Caenorhabditis elegans: one gene and its partner. The gene in region 1 interacts genetically with each later gene. Each region holds a gene or a part of one and is shown on either strand. Other genes may lie near its edges.

Region 1 (4,129 bases):
CTACCACGGAGCTGGATGCAAACCATACCCAATTGCCCCATGCACATCTGGAAACTGCCCAGAATCCAAGACTCCATCTTGCTCAATGAGCTGCCAATCTGGATATTCAACTGCCTACGCCAAGGACAAGCACTTCGGTTTGTAAAAATTACATAGAATTGTGGAATAATTATATTATTTCAGGAGTCTCTGCCTACGCTGTTCCAAAGAATGCTGCATCCATCCAAGCTGAAATCTACGCTAATGGACCAGTTGAGGCTGCATTCTCTGTTTACGAAGACTTCTACAAATACAAGAGCGGAGTTTACAAGCACACCGCCGGAAAGTACCTCGGAGGACACGCCATTAAGATCATCGGATGGGGAACTGAGAGCGGATCTCCATACTGGCTTGTTGCCAACTCATGGGGAGTTAACTGGGGAGAGAGCGGTTTCTTCAAGATCTACCGTGGAGATGATCAATGCGGAATTGAATCAGCAGTTGTCGCCGGAAAGGCCAAGGTCTAAATGCATTATGTACACAATTTTTGTAATTACCATCTGCCAAATAAAAATGTTCATAATTTAAATTTGTTCTTAAATCTTCTGAAATATATATATCTTTATTAAAATTTACGAAGAGCAATTACAAAAGTGCATGAAATCAAAATTAATCTAGTCACATTATGAACAACTGACATCAAAAATTATTTCTTATTTGCTTCGGCGACAGTTGTACCGTTGAACCCTACCGTAGCTGGTGGTAAGTCGTGGAATGTGATAACAACCTGAAATTTTGAAATATCAATAATCCATTGTTTGATTAATAAAACATAACGAAATATTTGTGACTTAAATGTTTGACATAAACTACACTTACCTTATCTTTTGGAAGACCCAATTCCTTTCCACAAAACTCAGTGATGGCTGCCGTATTGCGAATATTGTCTTCAGCAGACACTGCTCCGATTGATTTGATCTAAAGAATTTATTATTGCGAGAATTTTGAACTTCTGCCAGAAAAAGGATGGTTTCATAAAGTTTTAATTTCCTTTCTAAGTGTAACAAGGAACTTAAATGTAGTTTTAAAGGTTTTGGTTTACCAAGGTGTTACTTTTGGAAAGTGTTCCTAAGTCACTTACCGAAATTACGGTCACAGGATCATGAGTGGCCCCATGAACTAGACGAGCACCGGCGGCTATCTGAAACTTTAAAGTTAATAATTACTAAAGATTACTAATATACCTCGACAGCAATTCTCTCTCTTGGTTTTCCCATTGATCGAGCAAGAAGATCGGTGAGACGAATCTTAAATTGAAAATTCACATTTTAAAAGGAATACTATGTGAAGTTGGCATTTGTTCAGATTTTTGAAAGTTTTCTTTGGTAAATTGGCGCTACGAAAAGTTCGGGACTTTTGAGAATTTGGAACAATGGTTCATGTTTGTAACCGTACAATACTCTAGAAAAACGGAAAATTATTAAAATATCAAAAATTCGTAGAAAATCCACTTTTTGGTCAACTTCCGAAATTGTGGATGCGAAAACTGAATATAAAATATTTCAAAAATTTGTCTGAACTGTCTTAATATTATTTTTCAAAAACATGTCTGTTTTGCCAAGTTGTGGTCCCAAAATACTGTACCTGGTTTCGAGACGACAGGTGCTTGTAAAATGCAAAAAAAAAGGTGTGCACCTTTAAAGAGTACTGTAATTTTAAACTTCCCTTGCTGAGGAATTTTCATCAATTGTTCATAGTTTTTCGTTAAAAATATTTTCATTGAAAAACTTATTGTGAGAAAAACTATATAAAATCTTTAAGAATTCTGCAGAAACTCGAGTATAAAATTACAGTAATCTTTAAAGGCGCACACTTTCTCGCAACGAAAAAACTCGTCGTGTCGAGACCGGGAACCATATTTGTTTCTCTTAAAATACTTGTTTTTTTCTACAAATTTTCTCTAGACTGTTCAGTGTTTGTTGAGTCGTTTAGAAAATGTTTGATTAAAACACAAACCTCAAAATCAACAGGAACCTTCTCATTTGGTAGATTCGTCGCAACTCTGACCATCGGCATTTTTCGTTTCTGAAATTGATTTTTTGGAATATGGCAATAAATCACATTTCATGAAAAACGTGGAATATAGCGTTTTTATTCAAAAAATAACGACCAATAGTAACCTGAACTTTGAAGACGAAAGACGATGATATTCTGATAGCACTGACAGTCAACATCGACGAAAAATCGAAAAACCGGTTTCAAGTTCAAGCAACAATCACGCAGAACTACAAAAATCATCTGCCGCGAGGATACGGATTCAACTTCAGAAAAAAACACGACTGTGGTATTAAATAGGAACGTTTATCAATAAATAAAAAGTGGAAAATGATGATCATTGAAACGAAACAACAGGGTGAACGGGAGGGGGAAGAACAAGAGTGAAAATTTCGAAAATTGTAAGGTGTCATAACAAATACGAGAAAACCGTACTGATTGGGAGATTTTCTGAAGGTGAATTATTCAGCTTGTGCCAGTGGGTTTTTGACGACGAGAATGACGGAGTCTCCGCGGAGGAACATTTTTGAGATGAAACGATCTTTGGCGACAGACTTTGCCTTCTTCTTTCCCTTTCCAGTCTTTGGCACTTCAGTCCACATTTCCTTCACATTTTCGAGGACCATGTTGCAATGTCTGAAAAAGTAAAGAATTAGACTATACGTTCCAATTATTTTTATACGAACAATAGTAGAAAACTCCTCTTGGAATTTTGCATGCTTTGCGGGACACGAAAGTTACGGCAAATGAGAAAGTACTTATATTAGTGTAAGATTTGTGTTTTCCCTTTGGAAATCGTAGCAATACGTGTTTGAATAATTTGATGCCACGACAATTTGTTACAGCACAGGAGGATCGTGCCGTTTTATTAAATCTACCAGCCGTGGACCGCACCTCTGGCGCTGCCCCGACTTCTGGGGCTGAAAACTAATTTTTCTGAAACTACCATAATCATACAGTACTCCTACCGTACCACTATTGTACCACTACAGTACCCCGACTATATCCCTACACTAAGCCAAACCTTCACAGACTACAAACTATGGACAAACGGAATAAATGCATTATATATAGTAAATGATATTTTGCTACAGCATCGAGACGACAACCAAAATACGTTCACTATCGATGATTCAAATATTATTTTTGAAACACTTTTCTTTAAAAAATGTTGTCTGAAGTTTACTACCGACAAATACTTGTGAGTTTTTACTTAATAGTATTTCTAAGAAACCTAACCTGTCAAAAGCCTTAACTCTTCCGAGAAGCTTCTTGTTGTTTCTGCAATTGATGAGAACTTGATGATTGTTTTTGACTGAGTTGGTGAGGATGGAGAGTGGTCCGACATTGAATTCCTCGTCCTCCTTTGCAGCGAGTTCTTCAGCAGTCATCTCTGAACGGGGTTTGGCTTGGCTGTAAAAATAAATTTAAACTACTGGTCAATGAAAACAATGTGAACTCACGCCGACATGATCAAAGTTGATTTTGATAGAAGTCCCTGAAATTAAATTGGTTAGCTGAGAATCAATGATAATTTCATGTAAAAAATACCGATAAGAGTGAAGAATAAGGTATTGGGCGAGGTTTTCTAAATAATCATAAAGAGGAATTCGGAGGAACGAAACTTTACAGATCTTAAGAAAGTAGAAGAAAAATCAATTTTGAGATTTTTATTAGTTTTTATGCAGTTTTAATCGAAGGGAAGAGATTCGTTTCAAGAAAACAGAGAGACTCCGATAAACCGCGAGCGATTGCAATTCGAAAAAGACGACCGCAACGCACACGCGCCGCATTCCGAAGAATACAGAATGCAGAAAGCACCATTGTGCGCGAAAGCCGCGATTTGTCGGTTGCTGTGTTTTATAGGATCAGCTGAGTGAGCTGCTGAATTTAGCTTTGCGCTGGGGCGATAACGTGACCAATGAGGCTTTGCCGAGGTGCGTTTATTGCTGGTTGAAAACTTTTCCCAATTGCCCGCGATGTCCCCTGAAACATGGGTGGCATACGCAATTTTTGAACGCCTCTAGGAGGCAGAATATAAATACTGAACAGTTGAACATTTAGTTGGAAAACAGTATCCTTGGAGCATTCAGGG
Region 2 (8,058 bases), 5.0 Mb from region 1:
TCATCCGTCGTCAGATCCTTCACATTTATGTCAAATTGAGTGAAATTTACAATATGCTTAATAGGGATCAGAAACTTGGACCGGTTGTTCAGAATTTTAGCTTTCTTCCATTGCTCGAGTTCCACAACGCCATTTATCGGCTCATAGTACTTTAGGAATTGAGCTTGGAGAGTTATTTCTTCGAGAATTTCAGGTTCGAACTTCTGAAGTATTTCAGAAACTTCACGGGCGGTGAAGTCATCGATAATCACTTTTTTCGCTTTTAACTTGAAGTTTAAGGATTCGAAAAATGACTCAATTGCCTTTAAAATGATTTTTCTTTCATTAAAATTGTTGGTAGCCAGCTGTATCAGAAATTCATCAACTTCAGGGTACTTCACCAAGCTCTTCAAGTCCTCCATCAACATTTCAACGTGGTTCCTTCCAGCATGTACTCGGCCACTGTTCTTATATTCAACTTGGCAGGCTCCATCAACTTGCTCATAGGTAACCCCGCCGTAGTTCTCATCGAGAATTAGTCTTGAAAATTTTTCATGAAAATTTACATGAACCGTCTTCAGATTTGGACCGAGGTTATCGATTATTGCTCGGAAGCTGTAGGACACTTTTCGAGCGATTAGCCTGAATTTTCAATGCTTTTTTTCTTTAAAAAAACAAGGAAAACTCACCTTTCCAAAGCTTCCAGATTATTCAAAATTTGTTCAATAAGTTCGATTGGCAAGTCGGAGAGTGATGACATTTTGAGAAATTTGAAGAAAAAATGAAGTGATTTCAACACAGTTCTCTGTGACTAGTGGCCTAGTTGGACAGCGCAGAGACGCAGGCGCACCAGCTGACTAGAGAGTATGAGAATCAGACACCGAAGGTGTTTCAGAACTGGCCGCCAACTTGAACCTGTAAAATGTAGGCACAGCTTGAACCCTTGGCTTTAAATAAAATGTAGTCTTAGTTTGAAACCATGTGTATTCAGACAGGCTTTTCACTGTCTTACTTCCAGAAATTTCAGGAGTCGCATACGAAATTTACGTAGCAGTCATCGAAATTTTAAACAGAAAGCTAAGACCTGCGGCTAAGCCTGAGACTAATTTTAGGCCAAATTTTTGAGCCTAAGCCTAACTATTAGTTAGACCTTCTTATGTATTTGGCGATGGCAAAACGGTAATATCGAAGATTTTCAATTATTTTTGCCATTTTTCAAACAGTTCATGTGTATTCGTATTAAAACATTGTAGGGGTCGAAACATGCGACATTTCTTTAAATTTCCTCAAAAGCTCGTATTCAAAATTTTGGTAAATTGCCAAAAATTTTTTTTTGAAGTTTTATTATGATATTTGATCTTTTTTACACTATTGGAGTAGTTTTTAACACTTTCCCCACTGACGCTACTCCACCTTTAATAACGTGGTGACGTCACAATCTTTTTGTAGATCAAACCGGCATGGGACAGCCTGACACCACGTGAAAATACCAAAGGAGGCGAAATTTTACAAATTCAATTTTTGTTAAAACTGATTTGAGCCCACAAAAACAAAAAAGTGATGGCTAAAAAAAAGTGATGGTTAATTTCACGACACTACTTGAATAACCCCATTTTATCTGAATTTACGGTTTTGCCGCCAAATACCTAACGGGGCCCAATTTTTTTGGGTTCTAACTTTTTTTGTCTTCAAATTCAAATTTCCCCTTATTATACATTCAAAAAACCACGTACTTCTTTCATTTTTATCTTCTCATTCAAGCGAAACTTTTTCCCGCGGAAATTTGAGTGCAAGCGCGCTCCACTGCACCTTTCTCGTCTGCGTCTCCACCTTTCCCATTGTCTCTAATCCGTGACGAAACCTCATCATTTCTCGCATTTTGGAGGGGAATTCAAATTGATTTCTCTTGGTTTTTCTCGTTTTTTCTTGATTTTTCTCGTTTTTCAGCTCATTTTTAACCAAAAAATCGGATTTTTCAACTAAAATTCCGCATTTCAGCCATGGAAGACTCGTACAACGACATGGAAGACCCCGGCTTCCGCCAATTATCTGACATGGAGCTTCAAAAAGCGCTGGAAATGACCAAACAGAGCTCGATAAAGAACAATTTGATGCTCGGGCTCGACAATGAGCTTGACTTTGATTTTGGTACAATATTTGTCGAATTTTAAGCCGAAAACCCCGAAATTTCCAGATTTCGACGAGGATGAGGACCTGGATCAACCACAAATGGGCACACGAGCCGATAAATCGTTGGGATTGTTGGCGAAACGATTTATTCGAATGATTCAGTACTCACCGTATGGAAGATGCGATTTGAACACTGTATTTTTGAAAAAAATCGTGAATTTCGCAATTTTCGTATTTTTTAGGCCGCCGAGGCGCTCAATGTCCGGCAAAAGCGACGAATCTACGATATTACGAATGTTCTCGAAGGAATTGGTCTTATTGAGAAAAGAAGCAAGAATATGATACAGTGGAAGTAAGAAAGTCGAATTTTCAGCAGGAAAAATGACGTTTTTCAATGAATCGGCGGAAAATCGTATTTTAACAAGAAAAATGACATGTTTAGAAAAAAAATCAATTTTGTGTCAAAATATTGATTTTTCAGCTCAAAAAGCTTAAAATGCAAGAAATTTCGGAAAATTTCAGATTTTTACGTGAAAAATCGCATTTTCAGCCAAAAAATGGCGCTTTCCGGCAAAATGGATGAAAATCACATTTTTTGGAATATAGCTCCTATTTCCTGTAAAAATCGATAAATTCGATTTCTAAAACACTAATTTTTGAGATTTTTCACCGAAACAAATCGAATTTTCATATGAAAATTTCATTTTTGACACAAAATCACTTTTTAAAGTTAAATTTTCAATTCAAAGCTCAATTTTGTGGCAAAATCCTTATTTTTCAGCTTAAAAACATGAAAATTGCTGAAAATTTCAGATTTTTACGTGGAAAATCGGGTTTTCAGCCAGAAAACACAAGAAAAGGTCATTTTTAACACAAAATTACATTTTCAAAGCCAATTTTTCTATAATAGCCTCAATTTCGCTCCAATTTCGGTGAAAATCTCTATTTTCCGGCTCAAAAACCGCTTTTTTGCACATTTTTCCCCGGAAAACTCAATTTTTTGTTTTCAGAGGCGGTGATTTTATGCTAAACGTGAAGGAAGGGAAACGACAATCGGCCACAACAGAAGAAGAAGATCGAATGGAACAATTAAAAGCTGAAATTGAGCAATTAAATAAGGAAGAAGAGCTCATTGAGCAACGTCAAAGATGGCTTCAGCAGGTAGCGAATTTCCAGAAAATTTGATGAAAAATTTGCTGAAAATCGATGAAAATTGAGCCAAATTTACGCAAAAATTGGCTGAAAAATGACCAAAAATTTCAGAAAAATTCAGCCGAAAATTGAGAATTATTTGCTGAAAGTCGCTAAAAATTTGATCAAAATTGAGCAAAAACTGGCTAATTTTGATAGAAAATTGAGCAAAAATCACTGGAAATAAGGCTGGAAATTGGAAAAAATTTAACCAAAAAGTCCTGAAAAAAATAGAAAAATTCAGTCGAAAATTCTGGAAAAATATGGCTGAACATCATTAAAAATTGAGCCGAAATTTAGAAATAATGGGGCTGAAAATCGCTGAAAAAAGCTGAAAATTTGACTTAACTTCCTGAAAAATTAGTCTGAAAATCGTTGAAAACTGCTGAAATTTTGCCAAAATTTCCTCCAATTTTCTGAAAAAAATATGGATGAAATTTCGAGAAAATCAAGATAAAAATGGTGCCAAAATGATGAAAATTTTGTAAAATAAATTCTGGAAATTTCGGCTAAAAATTGCTTGAAATTGGTCCAAAACTGCTGAAATTTGGCAGAAAATTTCTTAAAAATTCAGTCAAAACTTCTGGAAAATTCGCTGAAAAATGGTCAAAAATTCATTAAAATTGCGGACAATTTTTCTGAAAATTTATAGGAAATTTCAGGCAATCTGAGCCAAATTTTCCACAATTTTTTTTTGAAATTTTTGGTCAATTTTTCGACAGTTTTAAGCCAAAACCGCTGAAATTCTCAAATTTCAGAGCCTCCGAAACATGACAGAATCCGTGGAGAACAACAAGCTCAGCTATGTGCTCCGTTCACAGCTCGCCGAGATTCAAGGCTCAGATCTTACGATTGGAATTCAAACGAGAGTCGGCACACAAGTTCGGCTCAGTGATCCGGAGGTAGAGAAGAAAATGACGCGAAAATTGGAATTTTCAATGAAAATTTAATGGAAAAACCTGGAAAATTGTGGAAAATTCATATTTTTCTTGGAAAAAACGGGTACAAAACCCGATTTTAACTGAAAAAAACGCTGATTTTTGCTCAAAATTAATTCTTTTTAAGAATTTTCGATGAGAAAAATGAATTTTTTAATTTAAAATACATAAAAAACTAGAAGACTGTCCAAAAACCGAAATTTCTGTCAAAAAAGTGTAAAAACTTCTCCTCGTGGAGTACACGAGCTGCGTAAATCTACGCAATATTTTTCTGTGTTTTTTGTATGCAAATTTGTAAAAAAAATATCAAAAAAATAAATTTTTGGCTGAAAAACGGTGAAACATAATTTTAAACAATATTTAAATACAAATTATTTGTTCTAAAAATTTTTTAAAAATTCTTAAATTTCCCTGATTTTTAGCAAAAATAACGAAAATTCTTCAAAAAATTTGATTTTCTGCTAAAAAAAGTGTAAAAGCCTCCCCTCGGGGAGTACACGGGCTGCGTAAATCTACACAAATAATTTTTTTCAGCTAAAAATTGATAAAACGAAAAAATTAAATAAAAATGTTAAAAAAAAAGAAGAAACTTTTTCAATTTTTAGAAAAAAAAAAGAAAAAAAAAGCTCCTTTTTCCAAAAAAAAGCAGAATTTTTTTTTGTAAATTTCCCAAAATTTGGCGAGTTTTCATTTTTTTTTTGTTGTAAATTTGACGATTTTCGTAAAACTGTCGTAAAATACAAAAAAATAGACTTTTTTTCGAAATATTTTGTTAAAAATCAGAAAAAAAATTTTTTTTAATTGATTTTAAAATTCACAGAATTTTTTTCGATAAATTTCAGAAAATTCCTGAAAAAACTGAAAAAGATTTTCAAAAAAAAAAACGCAATTTTCGCTCTATTTGGCTCTAAAAAACAAGACAATTAAACAAAAATCAGAATAAAAATTTTAAAAAAATTGTTTATAAAATTTTTGATAAATTTTAGAAAATTTCGGAAAAATCTTCTTTTTTTTCAAAAAAAAAATCGAACATTTTCAATTTTTATTTTCCCCCATTTTTTCCAATGAAATTAAAATTGCAGCAAGTCGATTTTTGATCGAAAAAAAGCATTATTTCTATGTGAAATGCATAAAAACCTATTACGGGAACAATAAATCATGAGAATGCGTACTTGGTGCATTTTATTTGACGCGCGATATCTCTTAGCGAAAACTACATACAGTAAATGCTTAAATATCTATTGTTATTTGAGTTCTTACTGTAGTTTTCGCTAAGAGATATCGCGCGTCAAATAAAATGCACCAAGTACGCATTCTCATGATATATTGTTCCCGTAATAGAAGACTGCCCAAAAACTGAATCTTCTGTCAAAAAAGTGTAAAAGCTTGTCCTCGGGGACTACGAGCTGCGTAAATCTACACAATATTTTCCTGTTTTTTTTCTCAATTTTCGCTTTTTTTTTTGTATGCAAATTTGTAAAAAATATCAACAAAAATTTTTTTTTGGCTGAAGAACGACGAAAAATAATTTTAAACAATTTACAAATCATTTGTTCTAAAAAATTTTTTTTAAATCACACTTGTTTCTTAAATTTCCCTGATTTTTAGCAAAAATAACGAACATTCTTCAAAAAATTTGATTTTCTGCTGAAAAAGTGTAAAAGCCTCTCCTCGGGGAGTACACGAGCTGCGTAAATCTACACAAATAATTTTTTTTTTGGATAAAAAATTGATAAAACGAAAAAATTAAATAAAAACGTAAAAAAAAGAAGAAACATTTTCAATTTTTAGAAAAAAAAAAAAGGAAAAAAATGCTCTTTTTTTCCAAAAAAAAAGCAGAATTTTTTTGTAAATTTCCCAAAATTTGGCGAGTTTTCATTTTTTTTTTGTTGTAAATTTGACGATTTTCGTAAAACTGTCGTAAAATACAAAAAAATAGACTTTTTTTCAAAATATTTTGTTAAAAACACAAAATTTTGTAAAAAATCCGAACAAAAATTATTAAAAAATTCATAGAATTTTTTTTGATAAATTTCAAAAAATTCCTGAAAAAACTGAAAAAGATTTTCAAAAAAAAACGCAATTTTCGCTCTATTTGGCTCTAAAAAACAAGACAAATTAAAAAATATCAGAATAAAAATTTTTAAAAAAATTGTTTATAAAATTTTTGATAAATTTTAGAAAATTCCGGAAAAATCTTCTTTTTTTTCAAAAAAAAATTTTCAATTTTTATTTTCCCCCATTTTTTCCAATGAAATTTTAAAAAAATTGCAGAAAGTCGATTTTTGATCGAAAAAAAGCATTATTTCTATGTGAAATGCATAAAAACCTAGAAAACTGTCCAAAAACCGAAATTTCTGCCAAAAAAACTAAAAACTTCTCTTCGGGGACTACACAAGCTGCGTAAATCTACACAAAAAATTTTTGTGTTTTTTTTTTCTCAGTTTTCGCTTTTTTTGTATGCAAATTTGTAAAAAAGTATTTAAAAAATAAATTTTTGGCTGAAAAACGACGAAAAATAAATTCTAAAAATTTACAAATTATTTGTTCTAAAAGATTTTGAAAAAATTACACTTGTTTCTTAAATTCAGCAAAAGCAGAATTTTTTTGTAAATTTCGCACAATTTGGCGGTTTTTTAATGGAAATTTGACGATTTTCATAAAATTGTCGTAAAATACAAAAAAAATAGTTTTTTTTCAAAATATTTTGTTAAAAATCAGAAAAAAAATTTTTTTTAATTGATTTTAAAATTCACAGAATTTTTTTTCGATAAATTTCAGAAAATTCCTGAAAAAACTGAAAAAGATTTTCAAAAAAAAAAACGCAATTTTCGCTCTATTTGGCTCTAAAAAACAAGACAATTAAAAAAAAATCAGAATAAAAATTTTAAAAAAATTGTTTATAAAATTTTTGATAAATTTTAGAAAATTCCGGAAAAAATTTTTTTTTTCAACAAAAAATCGAAAATTTTCAATTTTTATTTTTTCCCCATTTTTTCCAATAAAAAAAATTGCAGCAAGTCGAGATACACGGTGGACCATCTTGGTGTTACCTGAAAGATCCCTCTGGACCCCTCCGAGCCGCCATCGTTTCCAACCATGAGCTACATGATTTTGTACAGAGAGAACGAGCAAAACGGCCTGGTGAAGAGCACGTTGACGCTGATGCTCCAGATGAAATGATGGATGATTCAAGATATCGGAATCGGCGGACGATCAATGATGATGAAATGTTTGGTTTTGAGCAGAAAGGTGCTGCTGAATTGCTGGAAATTTTGCTTATTTTTTAAAGCAGAATTTTGAGAAAAAATGGATTTTTTTCACTGAAAGTAGCTAAAAAATAGCTTAAAAATGAAGAATTTTGAAAAAAAAAATTGGAAAAATCATCATTTTTTCCAAGAAAACACCAAAAAAACTGGACTTTTATGGACGTTTTTTCGAAGCTAAAAAATCCAAAAAATTTACTTTTTCTGATAAAAAACATTTTCCTTTTGTTTTCTGCACCGTTTTCTAGAGTTTTTCGAATCGAAAAATAATTCTCAGATTTTTTCACATGAAAATTTGAAATTTAAGCGAAAAAAACATCAAAACTGTTTTTTAACAAAAAAAATTGAAAAAAAAAACCGGAAAACCTAGAAATCCGCCAAAAAATTTGAGAAAATTTTCACAAAAAAAAGCATAAACTGAATTACATAAAATTCTTTTAAAAATTACAGAAAAACTGGGAAAATTTGGGAAAATTACCTCTTCTTTTTAATTTTATTTTTCGCATTTTATGAACGAAAAGTTTGAAAAAAAAACGTTTTTCCAGCATTTTTTG

The links.
Region 2: of mif-2 (region 1) and efl-1, changing one enhances a phenotype caused by changing the other (phenotypic enhancement), as found in Caenorhabditis elegans (one large-scale study listed by BioGRID).

What each region holds. Positions count from the first base shown.
Region 1 is NC_003283.11:11,976,192-11,980,320, forward strand, and holds mif-2 (MIF-like protein mif-2), read right to left. Parts: upstream 2,214-4,129; coding exon 2,160-2,213; intron 2,065-2,159; coding exon 1,996-2,064; intron 1,287-1,995; coding exon 1,224-1,286; intron 1,181-1,223; coding exon 1,121-1,180; intron 958-1,120; coding exon 859-957; intron 767-858; coding exon 686-766; downstream 1-685. Other genes in the region: cpr-1 (Gut-specific cysteine proteinase), read left to right, coding at 1-137, 184-506; snr-4 (putative small nuclear ribonucleoprotein Sm D2), read right to left, coding at 2,496-2,670, 3,274-3,447, 3,498-3,505.
Region 2 is NC_003283.11:16,959,595-16,967,652, reverse strand, and holds the start of efl-1 (E2F/DP family winged-helix DNA-binding domain-containing protein), read left to right. Parts: upstream 1-1,977; 5' UTR 1,978-1,979; coding exon 1,980-2,127; intron 2,128-2,173; coding exon 2,174-2,304; intron 2,305-2,351; coding exon 2,352-2,461; intron 2,462-3,119; coding exon 3,120-3,270; intron 3,271-4,058; coding exon 4,059-4,202; intron 4,203-7,255; coding exon 7,256-7,490; intron 7,491-8,058. Other genes in the region: fbxa-90 (F-box domain-containing protein), read right to left, coding at 1-621, 669-739.